Ovis aries: one gene and its partners. The protein of the gene in region 2 interacts with the protein of the main gene of each other region in a biochemical or structural test. Links are inferred from orthologs where the notes say so. Each region holds a gene or a part of one and is shown on either strand. Other genes may lie near its edges.

What was found. The genes of interacting proteins can lie anywhere in the genome.
Region 1: of the proteins of histone H2A type 2-C (region 2) and USP16, one has a biochemical effect on the other in vitro, tested with the Homo sapiens proteins (2 studies listed by BioGRID). The link is inferred for Ovis aries from reciprocal best matches to the Homo sapiens genes H2AC20 and USP16.
Region 3: of the proteins of histone H2A type 2-C (region 2) and RNF168, one has a biochemical effect on the other in vitro, tested with the Homo sapiens proteins (4 studies listed by BioGRID, with this or other methods). The link is inferred for Ovis aries from reciprocal best matches to the Homo sapiens genes H2AC20 and RNF168.

The regions. Positions count from the first base shown.
Region 1 is NC_056054.1:127,737,861-127,744,485, reverse strand, and holds the start of USP16 (ubiquitin carboxyl-terminal hydrolase 16), read left to right. Parts: upstream 1-2,506; 5' UTR 2,507-2,624; exon of another isoform or gene 2,625-3,025; intron 3,026-3,405; exon of another isoform or gene 3,406-3,595; intron 3,596-5,673; 5' UTR 5,674-5,714; coding exon 5,715-5,775; intron 5,776-6,124; exon of another isoform or gene 6,125-6,255; intron 6,256-6,625. UniProt on the Homo sapiens protein: Specifically deubiquitinates 'Lys-120' of histone H2A (H2AK119Ub), a specific tag for epigenetic transcriptional repression, thereby acting as a coactivator.
Region 2 is NC_056054.1:99,991,480-99,996,377, reverse strand, and holds histone H2A type 2-C, read right to left. Parts: upstream 2,579-4,898; 5' UTR 2,526-2,578; coding exon 2,136-2,525; 3' UTR 2,086-2,135; downstream 1-2,085. Other genes in the region: histone H2A type 2-B, read left to right, coding at 1,578-1,970; histone H2B type 2-E, read left to right, coding at 2,849-3,229. UniProt on the Homo sapiens protein: Core component of nucleosome. Nucleosomes wrap and compact DNA into chromatin, limiting DNA accessibility to the cellular machineries which require DNA as a template.
Region 3 is NC_056054.1:191,859,281-191,865,698, reverse strand, and holds the start of RNF168 (E3 ubiquitin-protein ligase RNF168), read left to right. Parts: upstream 1-2,299; 5' UTR 2,300-2,635; intron 2,636-2,948; 5' UTR 2,949-2,984; coding exon 2,985-3,285; intron 3,286-6,418. Other genes in the region: SMCO1 (single-pass membrane and coiled-coil domain-containing protein 1), read left to right, coding at 34-478. UniProt on the Homo sapiens protein: E3 ubiquitin-protein ligase required for accumulation of repair proteins to sites of DNA damage. Acts with UBE2N/UBC13 to amplify the RNF8-dependent histone ubiquitination.

The DNA of each region.
Region 1 (6,625 bases), about 28 Mb from region 2:
TTAGCAGGGTGCACCAGGGTACACCAGGGTTCCCCCCTACAAAAAATTTGCTGGTCTAAAATGCTGGTAGTGCTAAGGTTAAGAAACTGACCTCAACAATGCCTAACTAGCTTTGTCATAAATCTAATTCAGCCATCCCATCTCTTATGCCTTTCAAAGTAAACTGCAGACATTAGTCTACTTCTAAGTACTTAAGCATACATAACATTAGGATTTCAATTATGTAGGGTTTTTTTAAGTAAAAAGGAAATATATATCTTAAATGTATATTTGCTGAGTTTTGGCAAATTCATACACCTTGGTAACTCAAATCCTATTAAAATGTAGAACATTACAGCACCCCAGAAAATTCTTTCAGATTCCTTCCCAGTCAGTCCTCAAGGAACTCAACAGGCAACTATTAGTCTCTCTCTTTTTTTTTTTTTTCCTCCACACCATAATTAGTTTTGCCTGTTCTAGAACTTAATACGGGGAAGACAATGGCACCCCACTCGAGTACTCTTGCCTGGAAAATCCCATGTATGGAGGAGCCTGGTGCCCTACAGTCCATGGGGTTGCTAAGAGTCGGACACGACTGAAGTGACTTAGCAGCAGCAGCAGAACTTAATAGAGATGGAATTATCCAGTAGGTACCTTTGTGTAAGGCTTCATTGTGTGTATCCATGTTCTTGTGTGTATCAGTAATTTCTTTTATTCCTTAGCTGTATCCACTCAGTGACTATACCTTAGTTCTTCCATTCCTCTTTTGATGGAGACATGGGCTGTTTGCAGTTTTTTGGCTATTATGAGTAAGGTGTGAATAGTCAAGTACCAGCATTTCTCATGACTGAATTTCTTTAGTAAGTATTAAGCATTATGTTCCAAATACTTCTAGGTTCTAGAGATATAGCCAGGAGATATAGAAGAAGACAAAGATGCCCCCATCTCAAAGAGCTTAGGTCTGCTTGTTTCTGGGGCAGGGGAGAAAGGAAATGGCACCCTACTCCAGTATTCTTGCCTGGAAATCCCACAGGAGGCTGGCGGGCTACAGTCCATGGAGTCGAAAAGAGTCAGTTAAGACAGTAACACACACACCTAAGGTCAGGGTGGTGGGGCAGGGAGTAAATACATAGGTAACTATGAAACAAAGATACCAGGTGGTGATAAATGCTGGGTAGAGAAGTAAAATAAGGTGATGTGAGCGATAGGGTAGCCATGTTACCTATGTTTTTCAGCCAATTTCTTTATGTGAAAGTGACTTTTAAAGTGTGAACAGAATTAAAAGCTCAAAAGTGAATGGCATTCTAGGTGTGGTACAATGGCCCTAAGGCCATTTTAGAAAAGGGGGGGAAAAAAAAGGTCTTTGTGCTAAATTAAAAAATTATATAAGCAGTATAGAGCAGGAGAGCCGTTTACCCCCCAAATTTAACCATCATTACTCTGGCCAATTCGACAGGTTAGGGTGCCCCTTTCTTAACCTACTTTTATCAGATTACTAATAACGATAACTATTTATTCATATCATGTTTTTATTGTGAATTACCTGTTTATATCCTTTGCCTGCTTTTCTATTGGGACCTGCATCTTTTCCCCTAGCGATTATTGTGTCTTCTGCATAGGACTAAACTCCAAGGCGACCAAAGCCTATGTTTATTTCACTTTACAGAGGGCTTGGCACTTAACCTATTTCTAATGCATAAACAGTAAATATTTGTAAATTTTACCTTGTCAGCAAGGTTATTTCCAGACTATATACTCAATTTTAGAAGGCCGGCTGGTCAGAATTCGGGAAAATGAGTAAAATTTAAATGTCCCCCTTCAAATGTGATGTGTTTGAGTAAGGAGACTCAAATGTCTGACCACCCCCAGGTACCAATACTTTAGAACTGTTTACCCAGAGTCGCTCAGTCGTGTCCGACTTTTTGTGACCCATGGACTGTAGCCCACCAGGCCCCTCTGTCCATGGGATTCTTCAGGCAAGAATACTGAAGTGGGTTGCCATTTCCTTCTCCAGGGAATCTTCCCAACCCAGGGATCGAACCCAGGTCTCCTGCACTGCAAGCAGACGCTTTAACCTCTGAGCCACCAGGGAAGTCTCCTTAGAACTATTTAAATAACCCAATAACCACAGTGGGTCCAGTGGTAAAGAACTCGCCTGCCAATGCCGGAGACACAAGAGACATGGGTTTGATCCCTTGATTGAGAAGATCCCTTGAGTAGGAAATGGCAACCACTTCGGTATTCTTGCCTGGAAAATTTTATGGACGAAAGGAACCTGATGAACTGCAGTGCACGGAGTCGCAAAGAGTCCGCAAGACTGAGCGCACATGTACCTAATTACCGGAAGCGCCGGGGGCGGGGGGGAGGGGAATAAAAATCATTTGACAGCCGGGTCAGTCGCGAGCCACCACGTTCAGACTTCCGGCGCGAGTCCCGCGCAGGCGCCGATTAACTAGCGTCAGTGCCGCCGGGCCCAAGGGGCACAGCCGCTTCCCATAATGCCGCGTACCGGAAGTTGTTGCTTTCCAGGGGTCACGCTGGCTTCTGCTCTGTCGCTTTCAATTCGTCACCGGGGAGGAAGACGGAGCAGGCTGCCCGGCCCGAGGGCCCACTAGGGGATGCAGCCATGGGCGCTGTCGCTGTGGGTGAGTTCCGCTCCCACTGCCTTCGCAGTCACCACTCGCGTGACTTCCTCCGCACCCGGGAGCCCGAATTTTCCTGCCCCGACCTCGTTCTCTCCTCGAAGGCCCCTCTGCCTTTAAGCACGTTACCTGGCCTCGGCCCAGTACCGCGTTCTCATTGGCCTCACGTCCTGTCAGTTCCAGGAGCTGACCAATGAGTTGTCGGTGCTGGCGCCCTCCTCGACCCAGTGGACCCCGAGGTTCCCCCCGTGGGTGCGGAGCAGTTGGAAGGGAAGGGGAGGTGTGGCGGACTTCGTGAGGCCGGGGACTCTTCTTACGAGTTGGCGCTGAGTTTGCCGCCGTGTCCGCTTGTTGGTTATTAGGACAGGCAGGAGCTGTCGTCTAGACGATTCAGTGCTCCCAGGGTAGGACACATCTTCGCGAAACTTGAAAGCCCTGTTTTAGCCCCGCTGACAGAAGTTTTCCAAACGCATGCATGTTTAATGGATCCCAGGCAGGCGTGGGAAATACTGGAAGGGCGGAGAGGGAAGGGAACTGGGTTAATATGAGAGCCGGCAAGACCAGCTACTTTTGCTGGAGCCCTGCAAAGAGTAATTTGGCCCAGAAGGCAACGCTCATCTGAAGACTCGCCTGAGAAATTGAGTAGATTTATGGATGTTTTATAGATGATAATACTCAGTACTGTTTTCACAACTCATTAGATGCCCTTTATAGTTGTCAGAAATTTATTGGGAGCTCTTTTTTTCCACATTGAAGCAGTCCCCCTACTGTCCTCTGCCTGCAGCAATTACAGTTCGTCTTTCAAGTTTTCCTTTGGCGTCTGAGCGACTAGCAGGTCCCAAACCAGATTTGCTAGTGCTGTCTTCACTGCTGCAGAGTTCTTCCTTCTTTACCTTTTTCTTTCTCACCGGAATTTGTGTGCTTCATTCTTGTACACCTACCTTTTCACCTTATAATCGTCCTTAATGCCACAGGTACTATTCTCTTTTTCTGTCTTAATGCAAGTAGTATTTCTGGATCTGCTATATGTTAACACTATTCTAATGCTGTAGGTGATTCAGAAGTAAGGCCTAAAACACTTTCTTGCTCTTAGAACTTTAGATTCCAAATAGAGAAATGACCCATGTCCAGGTAAAAGATTTAAGAAGCATCTCACTTAGGTATCTGATTAGGGTACAAGATGAATAGCGCACACTGAATCCTGGGAAAGCAGAGTTGAGTGGTTTATTTAAAGTCAACTGGTTGCCTAAGGCTCCATTGAAATGAAAACCTTGGAGGAATGGGGAAGATTTGGATAGATGGAGCGAACTCCCAGCTAGAGAGTAAAGGCTTAGAGGTGGAAGGCAAGGTGTTTTGGAGTGGAGGGTTCAGAAGAGTCTGTGGGATTCTGCCTTGGAACCAAAAGATCTATGATTTAAGTTCCATTTCTGCCACCCTGTGATCTTTCATCATTTTGAGTTTACTTTAGCACAATGCTCCATTTAAAGGCTTTTGTGAAAATCAAATGAGATAATATTTATGAAAAGGCTTTGAAAATCCGAAGCACTGTATGACTAAACATTAGTGGCTCTTTTCTGAGAAGTAATGAGAGTCAGGGTTACGAGGGTGTTGAGGACAATTTATAAGGGACCATGAGTGCACAGCACAGGAGAGTGGGTCGAAAAACTGTCAAGTACTTTGAATCAGGAGAGTGATTTGATGCAAATGGCATCATTGGAAGACATTGTCTGTACTAGAATGCAGCACAGATTAGAGGGAGTTGGATTGGAGGGAGGCAAGAACTTGGGTGCTGTTCCTCCCCACCACCTCCGCCAAATCAGAATATACCCTCATTTTGTATATAACCATATAGTTGTATTCTGTTAATAAATACATTGGTTTTGTATAAATGAAACTTTGTTAATGTTTTATCTTTGAAAAGGGTAACAGTTAATGATTTGGCACTCATTTTTCTTACAAACCTTGTGGGATTACTGTGAATTACCCTCACACGTTAAGAACTAAAGGAGGAATATTTTTAAGACTGTAAACCAGAGCAAGATGACAGCTACCTTTCAGAATTAATTGGGAAGTGTTTTAAAAATATATGTCCCATGTCCTACTTTCCACTTATGGAATCAGAATTTTCATAAGCATCCCAGGTAAAATAATTATTATAGTCATTTAAGTAATTTTGACACTTAAGTTATTCTAATGTATGTAAACTACAACTTTTCAACATCATTATTAGGTAGACCTGTATGTACTTTCAGTATTTTTCATGTGTTCTGATTTTTAATTGTTGACTGAAGAGGTGATTTGATGGTAGCTAGATTTGTCATATTGCCTGGAAAAATCCCATGGATGAAGGAGCCTGGCAGGCTACAGTCCATGGGGTCACACGACTGAGTGACTTCACTTCACTTCAGATTTGTCATATTATTTCAAACTGATTTTGTCAAGAATATAATAATGTAGATGGCTGAGAATACAGATGTAGTCAGTTTTCAGTTAACATCCATAGGAAGTTCTGGTATGGGAAGATGCAGAACAGTGTATCATACTATATGGTTGGCTTTGAAACTATTTTGCAAATTTTCTAACTCCCTCTAGGAGATTGTTTTCAGAATTATTTTATTTTTCTTTGAGAAATTATAAATCTAATTGCATTGCCTGCAAGAACTAAGAAAGATAGCCTTGAAGAAAGGGAAATTAAAGTTTCAAAGTGCTACCACCATTCCACATTTATGTAGTGAGAAGTTGAGTTCCTAATAGTGTAAAGTGTTAAGACTTCACGATCTGTGTAAGAAGATACAAATTCTATCCAGACCTTTACATTTATTGAAAACCTCTTAACATTACTAAGAACCAGTTTCCTAAGCTATGAAAAATAGAGGTAATACTCTGCTTTGGGGGTTCTTATTGAAAACAATGATACATGTGAATGGTCTTTGTAACTTATAAAGTATGATAGATACACAAAATGATGTGGTTTAGTTCCGTTACTGTATCCTAGAGAACTGTAAAACTTTTTTTTTTTTTTTGGTCAAGCTAACTTTGTCTTGTTTTCTAGATTGTTATTTTGTGTCAGTAAGTAACCCCTAAAGTGCCAACATGGGAAAGAAACGGACAAAGGGAAAAACTGTTCCAATTGATGATTCTTCTGAATCTTTAGGTATATTTCACCAATTAAATCTTTAAAGTAATGTTTGTATCCCTAAATGGACATCTATTTTAATACGTAAAAATGGGATCAAAGTGTTTTGATTATGTTATTTTGTAATTTGCATTTTAACTTAATGTTTGTATAGACATGTAATTTAATAGTCTGCACAACATTTTTAATGGCGTGATATTTATTCCATTGATATAGAAGACTATGGGTACTTATTTCATGATTTATTTGAGTAATCCTCCACTGTTATAAATGTAGGTAATATGTAATTTTTCAGTGTTATGAATGGAGTGATAGTAAATATTTTTGTAGCTCAAACTGTGCACATCTGGTTATCTTCTTGGTACAGATGCTAAAATTAGAATTGCTGAACTGAGATATAAATATTTTCAAGATTCTTTTGGATCTATTGCCATTCAGAGATGTATTACTAATGTAGGGGCCCCCTAGCAGCATTTCTCTGAACCTTTAATGACACAGGTTGGTATTATTTGTAAAAATCTTTGCTGATTTGCTAGTTGAAAAAGAATATTTTCTTTTTTCAGTTTTTCTTGTTTTTGACAACTTACTGGGCTTTAGTAGTTTTTTTACATGGTCTCATTTGCATTTGTATTCTCTTGGTGCATATTCATTGGACATAAAGCTAATTGTACCACTTGATGACTTTCTAAACCTCCAGGAGCCATGAAAGAACTGAAGCCCTTTAGAGTGGCTTGCATAGCCTGTTACTGATCTGGCCCGAGCGGGGTTTTCAGTCTCAGGTCGTGCTGCTCATTATTTCACTTGTGACTGCCATTCTGAGAAGAGAGCATGCACTTTTACATTTTATACCTCCATCCCTTTGTTAATG
Region 2 (4,898 bases):
GAGTGGGTTGCCATTTCCTTCTCCAATGCATGAAAGTGAAAAGTGAAAGTGAAGTCGCTCAGTCGTGTCCGACTCTTCGCGACCCCATGGACTGTAGCATGCCAGGCCTCCCTGTCCATCGCCAGCTCCTGGAGTTTACTCAAACTCATGTCCATTGAGTCGGTGATACCATCCAACCATCTCATCCTCTGCAGTCCCTTTCTCCTCCCGCCTTCAACCTTTCCCAGCATCAGGGTCTTTTCCAATGAGTCAGTTCTTTGCATCAGGCGGCCGAAGTATTAGACTTTCAGCTTCAACATCAGTCCCTCCAATGAATACTCAGGAATATTCATGAATATATGCTGTAAGGTGCAGGAAACTGTAGATGTTAGCTCAGGTACCGGGCAGACTGTTGGAGCAATTCAGGGAAAGAACAAAGAGAAGGGAGCTGGCGGGGGGGGGGGGGGGGGGGGGGGGGGGGGGGGGGGGGGGGGGGGGGTGGGGGGGGGGGGGGGGGGGGGGAGTTGGGGGGGGGTGGTGGTGGTGGCAGGTGACTGGATGAGTTTGCTTTTGGATAGGTCGAGTTATAGGGACAGACAGGTTGAAGTATCCAGTTAACAGGTATACAGGCCTGAGCTTCTGCAGCAAATACTAGATGAAAGCACTGAATTGGGTACGACTTCGGGAAGAGTGAAGAATGAAGTGTGCGGAAAGGGCGAATACGGAGGCAGAGCCGAGCTTAACACTGGGATTTAAACACGGACAGGGGGAAAAGCAGCAGAATGAGGAAAGACGGAGGGCGACATTTTGAATGCCAAGGGAAAGACGCCTTCAAGTTGAAAGCGGTTTGGGACGCCTCCTAGAGGTCAAGAGGAGGATGACATACTATTCTGGGCTTCCCTGGTGGCTCAGACCGTAAGGAATCCACCTGCCTGCAATGCTGGAGACCCCGGATTCGATCTCTGGGTCGGGAAGATCCTCTGAGAAGGAAATGCCCTCGATTAAACCGGAGTCTGAGGAACAGACGGGTGGGGATGGGGCGAAGCCACACCGCAGGCAACAACTAAATTGAAAGAAAAGAAGAGGCCTCAGTAGTTTTGTATTTTTTAAGGTAGTCTGGCTTTGACGAGCCAGAAAAGGAGGAACTTAGTAATTTAAGGTTCCAAGGCCCTTGAGTGGGAGTAACTGCATCTGCTAAAGGCTCTCTGCAGCCCTTTAAAATCCTTTTTGGGAAACCGGAAAAAACCTACCACCCGTAACCTAGGAAAAAATTGCCGCTCAGTAAATAAAGCAAAACAGAAGAGCGTTTTGTTTGAAAGCCTTCACTTTAAAAACCCTGGCATGCAAATAAAGGGCTTTAATATGGCTCACAACGATTGGTAGGTACTTATAGAAGCCGTCATTTCCTCGTAGCCCAAGATGCAAACGAAGAGTCTGCTCTTCGCTTTCCTATTGGCTGTTCGATCGGACTCCGCTTTTAGCCAATCAAACCACTTCCCTTCACCCCTCCCGGTAGCTCTTATAAATTACATCAAATTGGTTACCCTTGCCATATCGTTCTCCTTGAAAAAGAAGCTGTAACTGCAGTTTTAGCAGTAATGTCAGGCCGCGGAAAGCAGGGAGGCAAAGCTCGGGCCAAGGCCAAGTCGCGCTCATCCCGCGCTGGCCTTCAGTTCCCTGTAGGGCGAGTGCACCGCCTGCTGCGCAAAGGGAACTACGCCGAAAGGGTGGGGGCCGGCGCACCGGTGTACTTGGCGGCAGTGCTGGAGTACCTGACCGCGGAAATCCTGGAGCTGGCGGGCAACGCCGCCCGAGACAACAAGAAGACGCGCATCATCCCTCGCCATTTGCAACTGGCCGTGAGAAATGATGAAGAGCTCAACAAGTTACTCGGGGGTGTCACTATTGCCCAGGGCGGTGTCTTACCCAATATCCAGGCAGTCTTATTGCCCAAAAAAACGGAGAGTCACAAGCCTGGCAAGAATAAGTAATTAAGAGGCTTGATACCATCCCCACTCACCCCAAAGGCTCTTTTAAGAGCCACCACCAAAGTGTCAAAATAAAGGGCTGATCACAAAATAGCGCATTAGCTCTTTTTTTGAAAACTTGGGTGGCTCTAAAAAGAGCCTTTGTTCTTTGGTTTACTTTGTAAGGCTTTATTTGCTTTTGGCTTTATGGCTTTCGGTTTTCTTTGGTAATAAAACGGCCTGGATGTTGGGCAAAACGCCGCCTTGCGCGATGGTAACCTTGCCTAACAGCTTGTTCAGCTCTTCGTCGTTGCGGATGGCCAGCTGCAGGTGACGAGGAATGATGCGCGTCTTTTTGTTGTCTCGCGCCGCGTTGCCGGCAAGCTCCAGGATCTCGGCCGTCAGATACTCCAGAACCGCCGCCATGTAGACGGGCGCGCCGGCCCCCACCCGCTCAGCGTAGTTGCCTTTGCGCAGCAGGCGATGCACTCGCCCTACCGGGAACTGCAAGCCTGCACGGGACGAACGCGACTTGGCCTTCGCCCGGGCCTTGCCTCCCTGCTTTCCGCGACCAGACATGACTAAAGATAACAGTAGTACCCTTAAAGATCAAAGCCCCTCGGCAAATGTTTAAGAAAGATCAGCAATTGGAAAGCCTTTATAAGTTTTCTGAGGGGTGGGGTCAGGAACGAGCTTTTCATTGGTCCCAAATTGGCTCCTGAAACAGCCAATAAGGTTAAGAGTCGGTGTTATTCTGTAGCTATTACTGATAACGTAAGGTCTCTCCACGGACCAATGGGAATGTAAGACTTTTGGAGCCTTAATTTGCATACGGTGGTTATAAATGGATCAGGCCCGCCCATTCTCATACCTCTTTTTTTGCCAAACGGCGTTGCTTCACAATGCCTGAGCCGGCAAAATCCGCTCCCGCGCCCAAGAAGGGCTCCAAGAAAGCCGTCACCAAAGCCCAAAAGAAAGACGGCAAGAAGCGCAAGCGCAGCCGCAAGGAGAGCTATTCCATCTACGTGTACAAGGTGCTGAAGCAGGTGCACCCAGACACCGGTATTTCGTCCAAGGCCATGGGCATCATGAACTCATTTGTCAACGACATCTTCGAGCGCATCGCGGGCGAAGCGTCGCGCTTGGCGCATTACAACAAGCGCTCAACCATCACGTCTCGGGAGATCCAGACGGCCGTGCGCCTGCTGCTGCCTGGCGAGCTGGCCAAGCATGCCGTGTCCGAGGGCACCAAGGCGGTCACCAAGTACACCAGCTCCAAGTGAGTCCCTGCTGGGACGCGGCGCTCGCACGAGTCGCAAAGCCGCTTGATTTTCCAAAGGCTCTTTTCAGAGCCACCCACCTAATCACCAGAAAAGAGCCTTGTTCACTTGTTTCTCCTCAGTTCCTCACAAAGTAAGTTACTCTAGTTGGCTAAAAGTAATAGAAGATGACACACGTAGCTTTTTAAGCCCTTATGACTTGAGATTCCTGGCGCGTGACTGGCTTTGCTTTTGAATCTAGGGCGCGTCTTAACCCTCACTGCTGCTTAGCTTTCGTATGAGTCAGTTCTAAATTAGGATACTGAGACTGCTCCTAGACTTGTGTCCTGGTGGCTCTGTTGGGTACGTGTCACCGGTGTTCCAAAACGAAGTGAGTGATTTCAGCTATCCACATTTAAGAAAGGACCCCAGGACACGACCAAGCCCGGGTCTTTCGAACACTGCATCACAGCCCTGAAGAATTGCGAGTTTGGCAGCTGCGTGGGTGCCGGATCACGAATTAGGCCCTTGCGATGTGGCTTCCTGTGGACACCAGCGGTTCGGGATACTTCATACTGAGCCCGCGCTGCCTGGTCTCAGCCTTTCCCTGATTGGACATGAATATTCAAACTCTCCCGCCGCTCCGGAATTCATAGGTTCTGGTTTGCGCCGCTCACTTTGGCGCTGTGAAATTCCTGTTATTTCTTGGTTTGTGGATCATTTTTGCTTTTAATTCTCTTTTCTCGGAATATTTCGGCGTCAAGTCACCGGAAGGCACTAGTCATTTTAGTCTGGTCTCAAACGTCACCTCTCAGACACCTTCGGGAAGTTGTGTCTCTCCTTCCTGCCTCTGGTCCCTCACTATTTTATTTTCTTCCTAGCAGCTGTCAGAAATTGTTTTGCTATTAATAGTTGGTTTTTTTTTTTTTTTCTTGTTTACCATTTTCCTCAAGACCTTAACGGAAACTTTATTGGTTTGGTTTTCCTCTATATCGTCCCCGCCAACCAGTGCTTGGCACACAGTGGACGGTTAAGTACTTACTGAATTAGTATTGAATTCATTTTTCTGTCCCTCTTCTTTTAAAAATAGCCTTCATGGATGGATGGATGGGTGCGGTTCATTTCCGTTAGATGTATGTGAAGACATGAAAATGGAAATGTTTTGGAGCTCCTTTCCCAAGTTGGCTATGGTCACCTCAGGGCAACAGCTGGGAGGAGGGCTGTATTTGTGCGTGTGTGCTAAGGAGGAGGTGGCAGTTTTAAGTCCTTCCTTTATGCTTTTCAGTTTGGTCTAATCTTTTGGATTTTCATTAAATTTAGAACATTGCTCACTGGAAGATCCTTTTCCTTTCTTCATTTATGACACCCTCCTTCCATCCTGATCATTTGTTCCCCATTGAGATGAACTTTTCATTTACATTCACAGTTTCATTTGCTGTTCAGGAGACCCTATAAAATAGACAAGGTTGGGGCTTCCCTGGTGGCTCTGGTAAAGAATCCGCCTGCCAGTGCAGAAGACACAGGTTCGATCCCTGATCCAAGGAATATCCCAGAGAGAGAAAAAAAAGTAGAGAATGTTAATATTTCTTTAAAAATGAGGTTGAGAGTGAGTGGTCCACTGGGCATGCAGCTAACATTGTCCACCTCTGTACCCTCAAATGCAAGGACGGTTGCATTTCAGCTTTATTTCATT
Region 3 (6,418 bases), about 92 Mb from region 2:
CTACTGCTTAAGAAGTGCCCACATTTTTTGTAGGTTCACTTCAATGGAATTGAATATTTTATACAGCTACGTCATTGAAGTACTTGTCCACTTGCACACTTGTGTGCTTGAGAAGCTGCCAGATCTGGTGAGAAGTCTTCCCACCTTAGCCTCCATCCTTAGACGAAAAGTCACGAACAAGCGCATCAGAGTTGTATGGGAGTCTGTTCTGGAGAAGTATGGGTTGCAAGAAGCAGATATCACAGCACTGTGTATCTTCTTTGTAGCACATGGTAACAAGGCAGAACACTACATTGCTAAAGTAAGGCAGATGTATATAAGAGATATCAATTTCATGATCTCTAATATGGTAAAGAACCAGGCTCTGCAGGATGGTTTGCTGAAGGCTGTGCAGGTCATTGAGAAGGGGAAAGCAGAAATGGCCCCTCAAGAGAAAAAGTCAACCCTAAAAGAGTTGATACCATCAGTCAAAAGCTAATCTGTTACACTGGACTCAGAGATTCCATGTCTAGTATAATTTATCTTGCAAATGGGAAGCAATACATATACACAATTTAATACAGGCTTATTTTTATAGCAAAAGTGAAAAGTGTTAAATCATAATACACTGGTACAATGGATACTTTCTGTGTAGCAATATAAAAGAATGAAGAAGCTTTCATGTAACTGTATAGTAACACAGAGTTATCGCCAAGATGTGTTTTAAAATATTTCCAACATTATTGCTCAGTGGGAAAAAAAGGGCAAAAACAAATACATAGGCTACTATATCTATAAACTTCTGGAGAAATACATTAAAAAGGGGTAACATTGTTTGTCTTAGGGAAGAAAACTAATTAGAGGCTAGGGATCAAAGGCAGGAAGAAGTCTTTTCACTGTTAATTCATTTTGTACTTTATGAATTTTGAAACATGTGAATGTATGATGTAGTAAATTAAAAAAATCTACTGTATTTCGTATGTTGATGTGTATTTTCTTTCTGGTACAGTTCCATAGGTATTTTATACTAGAAAGGGAATTCCCACACAGTGATCATATATTTTATAATCTTTTTTAAACAAATGCCATGCAATATGTAGTGTCAACAATAGAAACATTTTAAAGTATGGATCCTGCCCTACAGGCAAAAGTTACTTAATTTAGAAGGTACAAATTCAGGACAACCAGAATGAGTAACACCTTGGAGGGAAGTTAGGTAGAGAAGGATAAATAATACAAGATGTGTTACCTTGCTGGTTCCTCCTTGAAAATAGGTTGGTTGCCAGATACATGCACTTAGTCTTATCCTTCTCCAGACACATTGTTTAGAGAAACCATGCCACAAAAGAGAGAGAGACTGGAACTATGTCTTGGAAGTGTTACTAAATCAAACTTGGGTCTGCAACAAAGCCAATCTACTGACATGCGGTTGTGTTAAGATAAAGTACAGCATTTATTGCAGGGCACCAAATAAAGAGAACAGGCAGCTTGTGCTTGAACAGACAGCATTACCAAGTCCGAGCTGGTTCTACTCACTGACCAATAAGATGGCAAACTAATGTCTCAAAATAACCATCCTATCTGGGTCTGGATGCCAGGTTCTTTTACAGAATGAGTGGGGTGGAGGGGGTGGGGTGAGGAAGAGAAGTAAAAAGCCCCTTCTTCTTGCAAGTATCTCCTAGAATGGCAAGTCTGGGGAAGGTATGTGTCAATTTCTTCCTTCCTGTAGCCATCCACAGGTGAGCAGGGTCCTGAACAAAGGTCCTGATTTAACAGTCAGGCAGAGGGGCAAGGTTCCCTGAGGCAGGCCATCATGTATAAACAGTACAGAAGGGTACTACAGAAAGGTAGGCTGAGGAGTACAGAGGGAAGAATTTTCAAGTTACCGCTCGGGTCTCAGTTTGTTTTGAGGTTTCCCTTTTTCTGCCCAGAGTCCAATCTTGCGACACTGCCCGGTTTCCGCCGTCCCCGGGAGCAGAACCACGCGAGAAAATTAGAGCCACAACGACCCGAGGGGGGCGGTGGCTCACCGGTAAAAGAACCCGCCAATGCAGGAGCCGCAGGAGACAGGGGTTCCATTCCAGGTTTGGGAAGATCACCTGGAAAAGGGCATGACAACCCGCTCCATTATTCTTGCCTCAAGAATCCCAAGGACAGAGGAATCTTTCGGGCCATAGACGATAGTGACGCAGAGTCCAAAAGGACTGGACCGACTTAGCAAGCAAGCACACACGCCTAGCAAGGGGAGGGGCGGGCTCTCTCCCGGCCGGGGGGGCGGGGCCAGCAGGGCAGGCAGTGCGCGCGCAGGCCCGGAAGTCCCGTCTGCGGAATGTTAGCTGTCTGTATCCTTTGTCGGTTTTGTATGGTGGGAGGGGCTGTTTTGGCGGGCAGTCGTGACGCCACTAGCCCTTGCGGGATTCTAAGGCGCCGCCGCTAAGATTAGGCTTTCTGGCTGACTTTAGAGAGGACAAGGGGTGGGCTCAGAATCCGAGTAAGGCGCGAACGCGGACCCGCAGCAGCGGTGAAACGGAAGTCCTGCTCCAACGGAGCCCGCGTCCGGGGGGAGCTGCAGTCTTCCTCGAGCGATGGCCCGAGGGCTGTGCGCCTCGGCGGCCTCCGTCTTGGCTGCCAGGAGCTAAGGGCGCGTTCTCACCTGGTAAGTGGGAGGAGGGGAACTTGGCGCGTGAGCTGGAGCCCACTTTCCGCCCTGCTGCAATGATTGTTAATGCCTGGGAGCAGCCAAGATTCATTTGTTTTCTTTCCGGATGTTTATCTTAAACATGGACAAATACACCGCCTTCCAGGGTCGTACTGTTTACCTGACCTGTAGAACACCATTTTTACTTCTAGACATTTGATGCTTTCAGTCTCTGAATTATGGCAGACTACTGGGCATAATATTTAAAACGCAAAACTGTTACTTTGCTTTTTTCTTATTCGGACCGGAAACAAGATTCTTTCTCTTTCAGGTATTGATGTTGAATATGCCTTATTAGCATATTAAAATGGCTGTACGCAAAGACTCCATCCCTTCCTTGTTAGAATGTCAATGCCAAATCTGTGTGGAAATCCTCTTTGAGCCTGTGACACTGCCTTGTAACCACACGCTCTGTAAACCATGTTTCGAATCGACTGTCGAAAAGGCAAGTTTGTGCTGTCCCTTCTGTCGCCGCCGGGTCTCTTCGTGGGCTCGGTACCGTACCCGAACAAATTCTCTTGTTAATATGGAACTGTGGGAGACAATTCAAAAACACTATCCAAAGGAATGCAAGCTAAGAGCCTCTGGGCAAGAATCAAAGGAAATTGGTGAGTAAAACCCAGCGCGTTTGTTGTCTAAAAACCAAGGTCATTTTGAAAGCCAACGGCCACTAATCCATTTTTTAAAGGATGAAACAGAGAGCCAGTTAGTATTTGTCTAAAATTTTCAGAGGTATTTGGGGTTTTTTGGCCTCAAAATGTTGATTAAGGTCAATGGCAAGATTTTGTTCATTGCCCAGCCTGTGTTCACTTGGTGTTTGTTCGATTAAAAATGAAAAGAAAAACCCAAAACAAAAGAATTGCCCGATAGTCTTCAGTCGGTGTGAAAAGTTATATAAATAGTCTCAGAGGAGCCACAATCGCAGTATAGCAACAGCAGAAGTAAGGATTCTTGTGTTAATGTCTTTTTCACTTTCAATTATTTTCTCTAACTTGCTTGCCTATATATTGCCATTCATTTAATTCTTAAGCTTGCAGGGAGCCTAAAACAGCTTTCTGTGGCTATCTAGTTCAGCCGTTTTTATTCAAAGGTCCTCCACAGTGTGGACTCTTCTTTATGCCCCAAACTGAACACTTTATGTGCTCAATAAGTCATGCGATGTTTTTTGTTTAGGCTTTGAATGCAATGCTTAATACTTACCTTTTTTTGAAATTCTTTTTACTTATTGTCAGTTCAGTTCAGTTCAGTTCAGTCCCTCAGTCATGTCTGACTCTTTGTGACTCCAGGGCCTGCAGCACAACCAGGCTTCCCTGTCCCATCATCAATTCCTGAAGCTTGCTCAAATTCATGTCCGTTGAGCTGGTGATGCCATCCAACCATCTCATCCTCTGTTGATCCCCTTCTCCTCCTGTCCTCAATCTTGCCCAGCATCAGGGTCTTTTCCAGTTAGTCAGTTCTTCCCACCAGGTGGCCAAAGTATTGGAGTTTCAGCTTCAGCATCAGTCCTTCCAGTGAATATCCAGGACTGATTTCCGTTAGGATGTACAGGTTCAATCTCCTTGCAGTCCAAGGGACTCTCAAGAGCCTTCTCCAGCACTACAGTTCAAAAACATCAATTCTTTGGCACTCAGCTTTCTTTATAGTCCAACTTTCACTTCCATACCTGACTACTGAAAAACCATAGCTTTGACTCTACAGACCTTTATTGGCAAAGTAATGTCTATGCTTTTTAATATGCTATCCAACTTGGTCTTAGCTTTTCTTAGTTTGCCATTTTTATCATTTTTAAGTGGACGCAGTAGTGTTAATTACATTCACAGTGTTTTGCAACCATCACCACTATGTTTCCAAAACTTTTTCATCACTTAGCAGCAGACAGACTCTAACCATTAAGCTATGACTCCCACTCTTCCCCACCCCCTTTCCAGAGTTCTCTGTGAATTTGCTTGTTTTTTTAATTTCTGTGAAGCCCCAGTAAAACACACACACCATCTGTTTAGCAGAATTAAACATCATAGACATCATTTACCACAGAATTAGCTCATAAAATGTTCCCATAAACCCCAAAAGATACCAGGACAAATCACCAAAATCAGATCTCCGTGGTATAAGCAAGAAGGAAGCATCTGGGCTGTTTGATGGATCTGAGAACAAAAGAACTTCAGAATAAGCAATAGGTATTCATTGGGAAGGGCTTCCCAGGTGCCTGGGCAGTAAAGAATCCACCTGCTGGATACAGGATGCTTGGGGCTGGTGCACTGGGATGACCCAGAGGGATGATATGGGGAGGGAGATGGGAGGGGGATTCAGGATGGGGAACATGTGTACACCCGTGGTGGATTCATGTTGATGTATGGCAAAACCAATACAATATTATAAAGTAATTAGCCTCCAATTAAAATAAATAAATTTAAAGTTAAAAAAACAAAAAGAACCACCTGCCAATGCAGGAGATGCGGGTTCAGCCCCTGGATCAGAAAGATCCCCTGGAGAAAGAAATGGCAACCCACTCCAGTGTTCTTGCCTGGGAAATCCCATAGACAGCGGAGCCTCATGGGCTACAGTCCATGGGGTCCCCCCAAAAATTAGACACAACTTAGCGACTCAACAACAGCAATATAAGTGTATTCATAAAATATGTGATCTGTTATGTCTGGCTTCTTTCACTTAGCATAATGTTTCCAAGGTTCATACAAGGTTCTATTATTTATTAGTACTTCATTCTTTTTTAGGGCTGAATAATTTTTATGTATATATTTTTTCATTCATTCATCAATGAACATTTGGGTAGTTTTCACCTTTTGGCTGTTTGAATGGGTGCTGATATGAATACTTATGCACAAGTATTTGTTTGAATATGTTTTCATTTTTTGTGTATATAGGAGTGGAGTTGCTGGATCATATGGTAATTCTATGTTTAGCCTTTTGAGGATCTGCCAAACTTTTTCACAGATCTGCATCATTTTAAATTCCCTTCACAATGTGTAATGGTTTCAATTTCTGCACATCCTAACCAACACTAGTTCTTTTCTGCTTTTTAAAAAATTTTTTTCATTTTTTATAGCCATCCTAGGAGGTGTTAACTGGTATCTTAGTGTGTTTTTTAAAATGTGGTAAAGTATACATTACAAAATTTACCATTTTAACCATTTTTAGACGTTCAGTTCAAGGCATTGAGTACATTCACATAGGTGTGCAAGCATCACCATCATCCCTTTCCAGAACTTTTTCATCTTCAAAAACTGAAACTCTGTACCCATTGAACAATAATTCCTCAGTTCCTCTCCATCCAGCCCTTGGCATCACCACTGTTACTTCTTGTCTCTATGATTTAACTACTTTATGTACCTTATATAAGTAGAATCATAGTAGCTATTTGTAGCTTTTTTTGTCCCTTCCCTCCTGCCCTCCCTTTCTCTTTTTCTCCTCTCTCTCTTTTTCCCAGTATGGGCAATTTGGCGACTTCATTTAAAAAAAATAATCCAAGTATAATTACCTTACAATGTTATATTAGGTTCACTATTTCACAACAGTGATTCAGTAATTCTACATAGTACAAAATGATCACCACCTTCTTTCACTTAACATAAAGTCAGACTTTATGTTGTAGCATGTGAATGAATTTCATTTCTTTTTATGGCTAATATTTTATTGTATGTGTTTACTGTGTTTGTTTATCCTTTCATCTGTCAGTGGGTCATTGGGTTACTTCCATCTTGGGCTTCCCCCTTTTGGCTATTG